Oryzias latipes: one gene and its partner. The protein of the gene in region 2 purifies or fractionates together with the protein of the main gene of each other region. This does not show direct contact. Links are inferred from orthologs where the notes say so. Each region holds a gene or a part of one and is shown on either strand. Other genes may lie near its edges. The genes, in order: ing3 and mrgbp.

Evidence for each region.
Region 1: the proteins of mrgbp (region 2) and ing3 purify together in Homo sapiens (co-immunoprecipitation; 4 studies listed by BioGRID and IntAct, counting the BioPlex papers as one, with this or other methods). This does not show direct contact. The link is inferred for Oryzias latipes from reciprocal best matches to the Homo sapiens genes MRGBP and ING3.

The regions. Positions count from the first base shown.
Region 1 is NC_019881.2:24,133,059-24,137,330, reverse strand, and holds the start of ing3 (inhibitor of growth protein 3), read right to left. Parts: upstream 2,915-4,272; 5' UTR 2,823-2,914; coding exon 2,795-2,822; exon of another isoform or gene 2,738-2,794; coding exon of another isoform or gene 2,737-2,737; intron 2,654-2,736; coding exon 2,582-2,653; intron 1,633-2,581; coding exon 1,532-1,632; intron 1,455-1,531; coding exon 1,389-1,454; intron 1,131-1,388; coding exon 1,034-1,130; intron 967-1,033; coding exon 895-966; intron 809-894; coding exon 692-808; intron 609-691; coding exon 445-608; intron 362-444; coding exon 174-361; intron 109-173; coding exon 1-108. UniProt on the Homo sapiens protein: Component of the NuA4 histone acetyltransferase (HAT) complex which is involved in transcriptional activation of select genes principally by acetylation of nucleosomal histones H4 and H2A.
Region 2 is NC_019865.2:29,099,880-29,103,228, forward strand, and holds the end of mrgbp (MRG/MORF4L-binding protein), read left to right. Parts: intron 1-342; coding exon 343-417; intron 418-682; coding exon 683-912; 3' UTR 913-2,704; downstream 2,705-3,349.

The DNA of each region.
Region 1 (4,272 bases), on a different chromosome or scaffold from region 2:
GACGCCTGCTGAGAGAGCTCCTGAGCCAGTGCCGAGGAGGAGGAGCAGGAGGACAGGGAGGAGGAGGAGGAAGAGGAGGACTGGTGACTGGAAGACTTGATGTTGCTCCTGGAAAACAGGGACTAGAGGTCAGACGGGTCCGAGACACCTGCGGTGGGACGGGGGTAACTTACTTTGACTTCCGACCTCTGGAGTCAGAGGTGGTGCTGGGAGTGAGCGTCTGGGTGAGGGTGGAGGCCAGGGCGGAGGAGGAGTAGGAGCCGTCCCGGGACACGGAGAACTCTCGGCCCAGCTGGAAGTCGTTGTTCTTGATGGCCTCGTAGCTGGCTTTGAGGCTGGAGGTCCGGCGGCCTTCCTTCATCTGATGGGACGGAACAGACGGGGGATGGAGCGCCACCAGCGGGGCCGACATGCACGATTTTAGGATGGGGGTCGGGTTCTGACCTGGGCTGTGGCCTGTACGGCCTGCGCCGCCGCCAAGGTGATGGCGCCGGCGCCGGCCCCGGGTCCTGCGGGCAGAGCGCTCAGGTTGTAGGAAGCCAGGGGCTGAGAGGAGTTGAGGCTGTAGGCGCTGTTGGTGGATGCAGACATGCTGTTGGTGCGGCAACCTAGGGGGCAGGAGGGGGGGGGGGCAGTTAGCTGCGTGGAGGCTCCGCCCTCCAGCTGCATGGCTGTTATCTGCAGATGCTACCTGGCGTGTTCTCCTTGGACGGATCCGAGGTGAGTGTAGACAGCAGAGCCTCAGACTTGAACTTCTTCTCAGGAATGTGCTCCACCGTGTGGTGGGCGGGGGCGCTGCACTTCCTCTCTGTGGACAGAGGACACGGTGACACGTGAACCTGCTGCAGAGGTCCTGACATCACGAGGCGGAGCTGAGGGCGTGCAGCAGCTTACTCTCGGCTGTTATGTGCGAGTGCATGTGATGGTTGTTGACCGGCTGGGAGGGACTGTCCATCTCCAGTGACCCTGAGAAGAGCACAAGGTCACCGCTCTGCCTTTCAGCCCCAACGAGTCGCTCTGGAATCGAACTCACGTCTCTCCAGGATCTCTGTGATGCCGGCATTGTCTGCCTCCAGCTCCATTTTGAACTTGGCCAGCTCCTGGTCCAGTTTCCGCAGGTGCCGGTCCACCTGGAGGCAGAGGAGACAACAGGTCACATGAGCTTCTGGACGCGGTGCAGCAGGTAGACCCGGTCCAGCTGCTGCGGGGCGTCTGTTGGTGATGAGGGAGGAAAGCTCCTCCCCAGTGGTGTTAGGGACAGACAAAACTGTCAGGGAACTCCGTCCTGCTACGGTGGAACCTCCAGGCGATCCGGCAAACCCAGCTGGACCGTCACTGTGCAGGAGGTCAGAGACCATCCGGTCAGAGCGGCAGACGGTTCCACTCACCAGATCATAAATCTGATTGGCCAGCTGTACTTTCTCATCTGCGTCCTCCAGGGCCTTGTAATAATCCTGAAACACACCAGAAACAGAATCTAGATCTGACAGGTTCCTTCGGGTTCCTCCAGAACCAGCAGCAGATTCCAGACCTTCTTGATAACCTCCATTTGCTCCTCTCTCCACTCAGGTTTGTTCTTCTTTGCATTGATGAAGAAATCAATGACCCTCTGCTCCAGCTGGTCTGTGGCGTCTGAAACAAAGAGGCGGGAAAGAACTAAAGCACATGACATCAGCTTTCTGGTGCTGGTTCTGGATCAGACAGGAACCTAGAAGAACTCTCTTACTGTCTCCAAAGTTCTTCCACCTGCAACTGCATCAGAGGTCAGATCTGAGACTGGGGGGGGGGGGGTCAGTCCACCTAACTCTGACCCTCCAACAGCTAGGGGTCACAGATGACCCTGGAGGACTTTACAACTGAACTAGGGCTGCACGAGATGAGCAAAACTCGCCATTTCCAACATTACTGATGAATATTGCAATGACCATATAAGTTGTGATGCATATAGCAAACTATCTAAATAGATCATTTCCATTTCACTGCAACAGCTTCAATTAAATTTAAAGTGTACGTTAAATTACACTCCGAATGCCCCCCCCCCCCCCCCTACATCAAAGGGCTCCATCTGGTTGGTCAAATGCATTAATGGATTTATGTGATTCCTTAAATCCTTCAAGCTGCCATAAGATTGTTTGAGCACATTTAAAGTTACATTTATCACAGCTTGATATCAGGATAACGATAAATGAGTGACTGAATGTGCCTCAACTAACAAATACTGATGTGATAAAAGTTTGAACAGCAGCTGCGGTCATGACGTCAACATGAAAGGCGGCGGATAATGAAGGGATGTGCTTTGATCACCATGACCGCCTGACAAAAAGGGGAGGGGCTTCAGAATCTCAGCCACATATGCGTAAAGTGGCGCACGCAGCTCTACAAAACCTCACTTAGTGAATTATTAAACGAGCTGAAAGGTTGATAAGTTCCGTTGACGTGACTGAGGTGTCACCGGGTTCACGGACATGTCAGGTGTGTTAGCTCCGGTAATCTGGCCTTTTTTAACCGCTCGCTGGCGGTTCGAGTCTCCGTGCCGCGGCAGATGTCCCAGCCGAGCCCGGTGGTTGGCGGAAATACGTACTCTGCACCTGCAGGTCCATCTCCCGCATTTCCGTGAACCTATCGCGGAGGTCCATGGGAAGCTGCTCGATCACTGCCGGAAAAGGAAAAACACGTTAGCATCCGCTGCAGCTAGGCTAACGGAAATGCACGCGGCGGCCACACATAGACACACACTGTGCACACATAACGGGCCGAAGTCGGTACCGCCGCGACGCCCCGGTCCGGTACTCACTCTCAAGGTAATCTTCTAGGTACAGCATGGTGGCAAAGTTCGCGCTTTGGCCGTTTTAGGACAGAAACGGCTTCTTCCAATATGGCGCTGCCTCGCTGACAAAAACACTGGAAAAAAAATGAGGTCAGACTGCGCCTGCGTGACGTACGCGGCTTTCGGATTGGTTCAACAATGAGGGCGCGGTTTTTCCTGTTGTTAAAGGAAATGCATCATGGGAATAGTAGTTTAACTTGCATACTTTTGGACTTTGCACCAAATAAAGATGTTTTACTTAAGATTTTCGCTAATATTATAAACAGAAGGTGGGCTTGGCCTGAGATTATTTAGCTGCTGAGACCTTAAGCAACGGGTCTGTTTGTCTGTGATGAAAATATCAGGACAGAAACGCTGCTATAAACCAAAAATCACTTCATAAGGAAATCACCGATCTATGTTTTGCCTATCTGCACCTTTCTTTCCTTCCTTTCTTTTTAAATCTTTTTTTTTTCTTCCTTTTCTTTTAAAGTAAATTTTATGTTGATTATTTCTATGATGTATTGTGATTTTAATGCATTTTTCTGTTTTGTGAAGCACCTTGAATTACTTTGTGTACGAATTGTGCTATACAAATAAACTTGCCTTGCCTTGCCTTGGACATGATCTGCTTCCATGCCCTCACAAAGTTGAGCAAAACATCTGGAGTTCACAGCATTACTTTGAATGAAGTTGATGGTTTTCACAGTGACATCCATCACCTCATGGAACTCTGGAGACATTTTTTTTGCTGCAAGGTTTTCACGGTGGAGAAAACAATGGGTCCATTTAGCTTCTGGCGCAAGATCAAGTATCTGCTTGATGACACCGCGATGCCTGCCAGTCATTGACGCTGCGCCATCACAGCACACTCCAACACCGTTCTGCCAGTCAAGGCCATTCTCAGTGAAGTAGTTATCCATGCAGCGGAAACATTCCTCAGCTGTAGCTCGAGTTGGAAATTCTCCACAAAACAGAATGTCTTCTTGCAAAGAGCTATCCCACCGGTAGCGAACAAAAACCAACAGCAGCGCAGCATTTGTGACGTCAGTCGACTGGTCCAGCTGCAAAGAGAAAAAGGGGCTCTGTCTTATTCTCCCCAGAAGCTGCTGCTCAATGTCTGAGGCCCTGTCAGCAATATGGTGACTCACAATGTCATTCGACAGCGGGATGGTCTTGAGCTTCTTTGCTGCAGCCTCACCAATCATCTCACGGCACATGTCCACAGCGGCAGGCAGAACCAGTTCCTCCGCTATGGTGAACGCTTTCTTACTCTGCGCCACACGTCTGGCTACGAGGTAGCTGGCCTTTAACGCACACTTAGCGTCGCCAGTCAGTGACACGATGGACCCCCTCTGCATCTGAAGCCCATCATCCTTTCTTTTGAAATAATCCACTGGCTTTCCAATGAGCTTCGGATGTTTGGTTTCCAGATGGTGCTTTAATTTTGACGGTTTTAGTGCTTC
Region 2 (3,349 bases):
GGGAACAAGATATTAATCTGTGGGAACAAGATATATTTTTATATCTTAATGTCAGGACACAGGCTCCGTACTCCTCCTCCTGCTTTCACGCTGGTTCCTCAAACTCGGACAGAACTTTGAGATGAAGCAAATATTTCAGCCTTTTCAATGAACTTAGTTCTTACTTCCTGCCTCAGCTTCACTTAGCGGCACTCAGCCCTTTAGCACACGCTCAGATCAGAGGCTGGCAGGTGAGGAAACTGTCTCAGGGACGATCGTGGTCCGTTCGACGTTCTTCCTCCTTGTTGAACCTTCTGGGTTGTTCCTTGTGTGTGAGGAAGGTGTCTCCTCTTCTGTGTGCAGGGAAGCTGGGTTCAGAGGAGGACACCAAAGAGGAGTTCAGGATGGAGAGAGAGCCTCCAGCAACTCACGAAGAAGGTTTGTCTGCTGTCCTCCTCTTCCTCCCCCTGCTGTATGCTGAAACGGAGCTTCATTTGAAGCCCTCCGAGGATTTGAGCTCAGGCTTTTGCTTTGTCGGAAGAAGTTGTAATGATGGCTGGACTTACGCGACATTTTCTCTTCAGAGATGCGTTAGGCAGGTTGACCAGCTGTGTGGTCATGATGACATCACTTCCTGGGGGACTGAGAAGAGCACACTGACCATGGTTTATCCCAACTGTTTGCCTTTTGTGTCTCATCTCAGGGAGTAACTCCTCCATTAAGATGCCAGAGCGAACGAGCAGCAGCCGGGACAAAGAGAGGGAGCGGGACAAGGAGAAGGCGGGGAGTGAAGGAGGGGCAACAACGGCAGGAGGAGGAGGAGGAGGAGGGGCAAAAGAGGCAGAGAAGAGGAAGAGGAGCCGAGCGGCCGACAAGCTGTTGTCATCTTCCAACCCTGCAAGTCCAGGGGGAGCCAAGAGGAGGCGCACATGAGCACAGGAGGAGGCCAGGGGACTGACTTCCATGTCACACGACTGCTAAGTGTTTCTTTACGCTGAGGCTTCCCTGATTGGCTGCCGTGCATCTGTCACTCATCATGTGACCTCAGTGGGATGAAATGAAGCACAATAGTGATCCAGGCGCTGACCGTGGCGTGCAGAAAGTGAGGACTTACCTTTTGATTTTGTGGTAGTTTTGTGTTTAAATAAGGATGGTTTGTAGTGCGTGCCCTGGGTTTCGTCTGTCAGGCTAATGAAGCCTCTCTGGACTTGTAGATGAGTAGATGTGGGTCACTGCTGTGCAACACCCAGCTCTGTTACTGCAGATTATTTGTTTTGTTCAAGTGTCTAAAGCTACTGTGTGTAAAATTCCCAGCATGCATCTCAGCAGGACATGATCAGTTGCTGGGCTTCTCTTGAGCTGCGACCGAGAAGTGGAGAAGAGACTCAGAGGGTCAATCAAAGTGGTCCTGTTTGATCCCCCTGCCCCCTTCTCAGCAGGAGAGTCTGAGGAACGTTCTGGGCTACCGAAGCCTCAGCGCTGTTGTCTTTCAGATCTAACCATAACAGATCTATGAGGGGAAACACGGAGCTCGTCTGCAGAATAAAGCCATGCTCATTTCACTGTAAAGAAAACGTCTCATTGCTTTGAAAACAGACTGAAGTTGTCTGTTTCTGAATGGTGCATCTCCTGATCCAAACCAGTTCCTTGCCTTCCCAGCTCGTATGGCGGCATCTAGTGGCTCCACGCAGACTTTGAGCGTCTCTGCTTCTTCTTTGGGCAGCACCAAACAGCCTTTTAAGATCCGAGCTGCATAATCACAGCCGACTGTCTTCAGATCTCAGGTTTGGTCACGGCAAACAGATCTGCGGAGAAACGAGGATCGTGACCCATTCCGGGGTTGTAGGTGGTGCCTTAAGGACATCTGCTGCTGCAACACCATGTCAGAAGGACTGCTGCTCACACGAGCAGGAAAGACAACAAAGCTTAATAATGAATACTGACTGCATCCTTCAGTAAGCTAGTGTTTGTTTTAAGGGCTGCAGATTCTGTGAAGGACGTCTTGAACCGTTTTCTCCTCGCGCCTCAGCCTGCTTTAAAAACATCTGAGGCTTAAGAAGCTTCAGGTACCACAACCCTCCCAAAGAGAGGAATGAACCAAGGTTTAAAGACGAGAAATAGCAGTTATGCTCATATATTTATATGTTTCAGGCCCATCAGTAAAAATGGCATTCCAAAGTGGGTCTATCTGAATTGGAGGAGCAACAAAAGAGATGAAGAAAGCTGATAATCAGTGTGAGGGCTGTGGGTTGAGGAGAAAACCCTTTAGAGGTCCTGCAGCCGTTTGTCCACCTCCAGCATTAAAGGGAAGCTTCTGGAAAATGATGGTTGAGAAATCCCCGACCACCTGCGCTTCATTCTTTCTGTCTGCTTTGGTTTGCAGCCGTTTGTCTGCCAAAGCTGTCGTTTTCATTTAAAGCAGAGTCCCCGAGTCCGCTGCATCATTTCCGTGCAAAGCGCTCGTCTGGTCAGGTTTGGTTCCGACACCAGAGACCCAGACTCGGCCCGCGGCGAAGCCTGACCCGCTGCGTTTGACAGCCAACACTCCTGACACGTTCTGGTCCGACTGACTGCAGTAAACTGGATGCTGAACTGGTCCCTGTGTTCATGAAGGGCAGGTTTAGTTTGGCTTGACTTCCTCTTGTTCCCTTTCAATGTATTCCTTGACATTGTAGGATACTGATGGTGATGTTTGTGACATTAAATGTGAACTTTTTCAACTGAACTGAGTTTTTGAGACATTAGTAAAACAGGAGAGAATTTGGGAGAAACTCAGGATCGTGGACACAAATCCAGCAAACGTCCTGCTAAAGTTAGGATCGTTGGTACTTTAATGCTTTCCACCTGTATATAGACTTAACCCTTGTGCTATCTTGTGGGGTCCAGATGACCCTGCTCCCAACGTTGACGTGCCTCGGAGGCACGTTTCACTTCCAGAACTAGCAGCTGAAGCACGGAGGTGGATGCATCATGCTTATTTACGTTCAGAACAGAAAGACGATAGAAAAAAAAAAATAAGCCCAAAACCACCAGTAAAGGCATACATTTCTACAACGTTAATGGTATTCCGGGTGTCCTAAGCAGATTTATTATTATTATTAGAAACAGTGTGCTCTTTAAGCTGCAGTTGAGCGTGGGATTTTTTTTTCAGCAGAGCAGAAGTTCCAGACACAACACGGCGTGTAAAAGGATGAACTTTGTCTGTTTCAAAAGATGCACAATTACCCAGATTCACAAGTATTTTATCATCAGTATTTGCAAATAGATAACAGCCTAACACAGCATCGCTGCTGGAAGGAGCGCCTCTGCAGATCTTTCCTGCTGTCAGCCTTTAGACTTTACATCACCTAACACACACTGGACCCTTCAT